Linked DNA regions of Kluyveromyces lactis. The protein of the gene in region 1 interacts with the protein of each later gene in a pairwise test. Links are inferred from orthologs where the notes say so. Each region holds a gene or a part of one and is shown on either strand. Other genes may lie near its edges. The genes, in order: SHP1 and ARG1.

The links.
Region 2: the proteins of SHP1 (region 1) and ARG1 interact in a two-hybrid assay, tested with the Schizosaccharomyces pombe proteins (2 studies listed by BioGRID). The link is inferred for Kluyveromyces lactis from reciprocal best matches to the Schizosaccharomyces pombe genes ubx3 and arg12.

Annotation. Positions count from the first base shown.
Region 1 is NC_006041.1:1,783,408-1,786,772, reverse strand, and holds SHP1 (protein phosphatase regulator SHP1), read left to right. Parts: upstream 1-1,519; coding exon 1,520-2,722; downstream 2,723-3,365. Other genes in the region: MET6 (5-methyltetrahydropteroyltriglutamate-homocysteine S-methyltransferase), read left to right, coding at 1-767; PTH2 (aminoacyl-tRNA hydrolase), read right to left, coding at 2,865-3,365. UniProt on the Schizosaccharomyces pombe protein: Involved in CDC48-dependent protein degradation through the ubiquitin/proteasome pathway. Involved in delivery of substrates to the 26S proteasome. Also required for membrane fusion and sporulation.
Region 2 is NC_006039.1:366,386-369,700, forward strand, and holds ARG1 (argininosuccinate synthase), read left to right. Parts: upstream 1-1,241; coding exon 1,242-2,504; downstream 2,505-3,315. Other genes in the region: KLLA0_C04059g (dipeptidyl-peptidase III), read left to right, coding at 2,946-3,315.

The DNA.
Region 1 (3,365 bases):
ATGCCTTCACCGTCAACGGTTGGGTGCAATCTTACGGTTCTCGTTACGTTAGACCACCAATTATTGTCGGTGACTTGTCTAGACCAAAGGCTATGTCCGTTAAGGAAGTCGTCTACGCTCAATCTATTACCCAAAGACCTGTCAAGGGTATGTTGACCGGTCCAGTCACTTGTTTGAGATGGTCTTTCCCAAGAGATGATGTTGACCAAAAGACTCAAGCTTACCAATTGGCTTTGGCCATCAGAGATGAAGTCTCTGATTTGGAAGCTGCCGGTATTAAGGTCATCCAAGTCGATGAACCAGCCGTCAGAGAAGGTTTGCCATTGAGAGCCGGTCAAGAAAGAACCGAATACTACAACTGGTCTGCTGAATCTTTCAGAGTTGCTACCTCTGTTGTTGCCAACAAGACTCAAATCCACTCTCACTTCTGTTACTCCGATTTGGACCCTAACCATATCAAGGCTTTGGATGCTGATGTCGTTTCTATCGAATTTTCCAAGAAGGACGATCCAAACTACATTCTGCAATTTGCTAACTATCCAAACCACTCTGGTCTAGGTTTGTTCGATATCCACTCTCCAAGAGTTCCATCCAAGGAAGAATTCATTCAAAAGATGGAAGAATTCTTGAAGTACTACCCAGCTGAAAAGTTCTGGGTTAACCCAGACTGTGGTTTGAAGACTAGAGGCTGGGAAGAAACCAAGGCTACCTTGACCAACATGGTTAACGCTGCTAAGCACTTCCGTGAAATCTACGCTAAGAAATAAATAGACTCGTGAGTTTGTAACAACACTCAAGCGTCTTTTTATCTATTATGCATTATTGGATTAAGGAACAGAATAAAAAATCAGCATTAACCAATAACAACTTTTATTTCATTTTAAGTGTCTTTCAATGCTTCAAGTGGTCTATTATTTCCAATGAATTGCTTATTGTAAACTGACACATAATACAAACGAAGATCTTATTTGATATAAGTTCTTCACGGATTCAACATCGGGCTTTACCTTTTACATCTTTTTTTTTTTGGTCTGTTTATTTATCCCATTTCTTCCGATCACATCACATTATTTCATAGACCTTAATGGCGAACTTCATCTTTGCTCATCATTCCAAAGATATTCAATCGTTAAAGGTCCCCAAATTATAAACTGTCATGAGTTATGTTTTTAATAATTAAATAACCTCTTGTATATTATAAACGCATTCAACATTCGTTTCAAAAAAAACATCAAACCACAACATTTCTGCTACAAACATAATATTTCCCCACAGTCTCAGTTACTATCCTGCCTAAGATGTCTGTGTTTATCATGTTACTTTCCTTTTCTTACAGATTCGTTTTAAAGGTTTTTCTATGAAAAGTAATGAACTTTCAAATTAAGACAATTTCATTTAGGTAGAGATGCCATAAGGAAAACTTGCCACTTGTCATGGCAAGATATTGCACTCCATTACGACGATACAATTACAATTGTAACACGATATAGAATCTGAGATACCACATACGATATTTACCATGTCTGACGAACAAATCCAGCAATTTGTCGCATTGACCAACACCTCAGTGAATGTCGCTTCAGATTATTTAAACCAGTTTGGTGACTTGGGAGAAGCATTGAATGCCTTCTATGCTACCCAACAGGATGAGCAAGAGCCTAAAACGAAAGCATCCTTTGAACAGCCGATTCCAAAAGCTGCTAGCCAGGGTGAATTGTCTAACTCCTCGGCGAAAGATGACGTTACATACGCAAGAACCTTGAGTGGCCAAAAGATTGCTTTACCTAGGTCAACACCTTCTCCATCGCAGAAACCCAAGTCTAAGTCTAAATTCCAATCCTTCTCTGATATATTGAAAGGAGGTGATGATGAAGATGAAGATCGGAACACTTTTGCTGGCGGTGAGACTTCAGGACTTGAAATCACCGACCCACACGCTAATGACTCTAATTCTTTAATTAGGGATCTTTTACAAAAGGCACGCAGAGGCGGTGAAAGAGCAGAACAGGAGGAAGAAGAGAATGAGGAAGCAGAAAGTAAGAAACATCATTTTGTTGGTAAAGGTTATAGGCTAGGATCCGATGTTTCTGCTCCACCAACAGTGGTTGAGGATGATACCCCGGTCGTATCAAAACCTAAAAAAGTGACAAGGGAAATTACGTTTTGGAAAGATGGATTCCAAGTCGGTGATGGCAAACTATATCGTTACGACGACCCAGAAAATAGTTTCTATTTGAAAGAACTAAACCAAGGAAGAGCTCCTTTGCAGTTATTGGACGTCGAATTCGGACAAGAGGTCGATGTCACGGTCTATAAAAAGTTGGAAGAGCCTTACGTTCCACCTAAGAGAAAAGTGAGTGGCTTCCAAGGAACAGGTAAGAGATTGGGCTCACCCATTCCTGGTGATGCAGTAAACTCTCAATCAGCATCGCCTGCCGAATCTACTCCAGTAGGGACTGAAATCAAAGAAAAATCGCCAGATGACGAGCTAAAGGGAGACACTAGTGTACAGATCAGATATGCTTCTGGGAAGAGGGAGGTGTTACGTTGTAACTCTACAGATACCATCAGATTCTTGTACCAGCATGTTAAAGCTAACACAGCAGAAATGCGCCCATTTACACTAAGCCATGCATTTCCCGTAAAACCCATTGACGAATTTGACTCCACTTTGAAAGATCAAGACCTATGCAATGCAGTGGTGGTCCAAAGATGGGTATAAATCTTAAATATAGTATAATTTTACAAAGATTATTACATATGTACAAGTTTAAATATACGGAGACAACCTAAATCCTTATATTTTCAGGATAGAGTTGTTTATGCAGTCGATGATTATTCCAACGATTTGAGAGATCGAAGTATCAGTAAAGCTTGAGATCACCAGTAATTTGGTCAAGGACTGCTTTCGGAGCAGGTCCCAAACCTAAAACAGTAGCACTTCCCGCTGCAATTTGTGTTCTACCAGCATCATGAACAACGTATGAGTTAACTCCTAATGCAATAGCCTTAGCGAAGAGCTCATCCATTGTTTCCTTATCTGGACATTTTAAAGTAATCTTTGCTTGACCTCTTGCCAACCATCTGTGAGTCATCTCCGGATTATATGAAGTTCTACTTGGATCACACGCAATAAGCCTAAAACAGGCTAATGCAGCATGACAACATTGAGCAGCGATTTTCCCTTTAGTCATTCCCAAATCTTGCCTGATAACCAAGGCCATCCTTACTTCACCAGGAATGTCATTTAGGCATATGGAATCTACTGCAATGCCATCTTCATCTTCATCTTCATCCTCAGATTCGTCTTCATCCTCGTCCTCATCACCATCGTCATGTTCACTGGCATACGCTTGCTCATCTCG
Region 2 (3,315 bases), on another chromosome or scaffold:
TTTATGTCATAGACAAGACACATAAAAATATCCATCATCACAACACACACTTTAAATTTCAATTCAAAAACCTCAACAAGAGAGAGATCCATGTACACTAGTTCTCAACAGTCAACAAAAGAAAATCGCCTCTCCTACATAATAAATATAAACTATTTCACATTCATACTTGTCCCCCTTATTTATTTCGGTGGGAATGAGTAATCTGTACCATATACTTAACTCACTATAAGAAAGATACAAAGATAGATTCTTACAATTTAATTTATTTCTCTTTCCTTCGCTCCATCTTAGTTACCTAATTTCAAGTTCTCAGCCATATTTACCAAGGAATGGCAAATTCTGGTGAATGAAAGGAGATGGAAGTGGGAAGAGAATCAAGGAAGAAAAGAAAGAAGGAAAAAAAAAAAAAACATCAATCACGTGACTGTCTATCACCGGGTAACAACTCTCGTTTCCTCTTGCACTTAGTGAACACAAACAGCGAAAAATTGCCATTAACAAACAGAAGAATAACTATAGTTATATGGCACAACTTCAGTGCAAGAAACAACAACAGTTGTACCAGTTTTTGTAGCCATTAAACGTGGATTGAATCATCGATCTAGTACGAGCCGTGCCGGACATGTTGATGATTCAAATTAAGCTGGAGAACCTTTAAAATAGATTCAGATTCAAAGAACTTTGACGTTTTTTACAGCATTTGAGTTTTTTCTTTCTCAATCAAGTATATACATTACACACAAACTAAATACAAAGCAGTTCCTCACTCTTTTATGAAGAACAGGTATTCCCAGAGCCTAGGTTTTTGCCCTTGACAAAGGCTACTTCGTTTTACGCTATGGAGTGGCATTTTGTTTGGGTTTTTGCTGAGCTTATCTGGCCTTTGCCGCGATTAGCGGTATATTTTCTGCCCATTAATGTATAGAGTGTAATAATTTCATATGAGTCATTTTTTCACAGTAGAGATCGTACAACATAGAGAGATAAGTGAGTGGTGAAGAGACTAGCACAGAGAGGGCATCAAAGTACGAATGAAATTTTTCCAGTTGAAAAAAAGATATATAAATGAGAAGTGAAAAAATGTGAGAATCTGTTCTACTCTGTTCAGTTCTTGTTTATAACTCCATTTGATTGTGTACTACAGTTTGAAGTATAGATCACACATCACATATCACACACATATCTGGTGGTTTTTAAAAGATACAAAGAGCATTCAAGGAATTTTTAAAAGTAATATAATGTCTAAAGGTAAGGTTTGTTTGGCATACTCCGGTGGTTTGGATACCTCTGTGATTTTGGCCTGGTTGTTAGAACAAGGGTACGAAGTTGTTGCCTTCATGGCCAATGTTGGTCAAGAAGAAGATTTCGAAGCTGCTGAAAAGAAGGCTTTACTAATTGGTGCTACCAAGTTTGTTCTAGTTGACTGCAGAGAAGAATTCGTCAAGGACGTTTTGTTCCCAGCTGTTCAAGTTAACGCGGTATACGAAGACGTTTATCTGTTAGGTACCTCTTTGGCTAGACCTGTTATCGCTAAGGCTCAAATCGACGTCGCTAAGCAAGAAGGTTGTTTCGCTGTTTCTCATGGTTGCACCGGTAAGGGTAACGATCAAATTAGATTCGAATTGGGTTTCTACGCATTGAAACCAGACGTCAAGGTCATTGCCCCATGGAGAGATCCAACTTTCTTCGACAGATTTGCTGGTAGAAAAGATCTATTGGCTTATGCTGCCGAAAAGAACATCCCTGTGTTCCAAACCGCTTCTAAACCATGGTCCACTGATGAGAACTTGGCTCATATCTCCTACGAAGCTGGTATTCTAGAAGATCCAAACCAAACTCCTCCAAACGATATGTGGAAGTTGATCACTGGTCCAGAAGATGCTCCAGATCAACCACAAGATTTGGATATCGTTTTCGAAAAGGGTTTGCCAGTGAAGTTGACTTACAAGGATGCCGCTTCTGGCAAAGAAACTACTGCTACTTCACCATTGGATATCTTCTTGACTTCTGCGAAATTGGCTAGAGCTAACGGTGTTGGTAGAATCGATATCGTTGAAAATCGTTACATCAACTTGAAATCTAGAGGTTGTTACGAACAAGCTCCATTGTCCGTCTTGAGAAGAGCTCACGTTGACTTGGAAGGTTTGACTTTGGACAAAGAAGTCCGTGCCTTGAGAGATCAATTTGTCACTCCAAATTACTCCAGATTGTTGTACAACGGTTCATACTTCACTCCAGAATGTGAATATATCAGATCTATGATCCAACCTTCCCAATCTACAGTTAACGGTACCGTTAGATTGAGACTATACAAGGGTAACATCATTGTGCTAGGCAGATACTCAGAGACTGAGAACCTATACAATCCTGATGAATCTTCTATGGATATATTGACTGGTTTCCAACCAACCGACACTACCGGTTTCATCGCTATTCAAGCGATCAGAGTAAAAAAGTACGGTGAATCCAAGGCTGCCAAGGGTGAAGAACTAACTTTATAAAACTATCATCCAATTTCCCCAGTCACGAACTCTCAATTAAACTTTAGACCCCTAAATTATAAATAATAGAATCTCGTGTTTAATAGTGTACATAACTAATCTTAAAATAATTATTCAATTAACTTACTCCGTGCACTTCAAGTAATGGCATTGAAACTTTATCCCGGGTGATTATTTCAATTTGTTCATTAACCTTCTTCTTAGTTTTCTTCAGTTTTTGGTAGCTTTTTTCACTTGGACCGGCGAAACATGAAAAAGTCTGACTGTAATTAAAAGTGAATGAAAAGGATAACCTTCGCGACATGGCCTTGACATGAATTTTTATCGTGACCCCTAAAGATCTGTTAATCTCACATTAAGAACTTAGGAGTGGCACTTACACCAAGGTATCCTAATACTTACACTACACTGTTTCGCTCACTGGCCAGATCACTCTCAACAATGTCTTACGCTGATAAGGGAGCACCAATTCAGATGCTTTCTGCTAAGAAGTATTTTGAAAATTTGACTCCAAAGGAACAGCACTACGCGCATTTCATGTCCAAAGCTTCCCATGCCGGTACCCGTATTACTGTCAGACAAGTTTCTCCAAATTCCGAAAAGGTATTCGACACTATCTTGAATATTCACAAAGGGTTGAAAGAATATCCAAAAGATGAGGAAACTACCCAATATTTGGAGTATGCATCTCAGTTCTTGTCAAATCTCGGTGAATTTAAATCTTTTGGTGACGTTAAATTTATTCCTCGTTGCCCTGAATCCACTTTCATCAAGTTAGGTGAATTGGCTAAAGTTAAGGTTGACCCTTCGT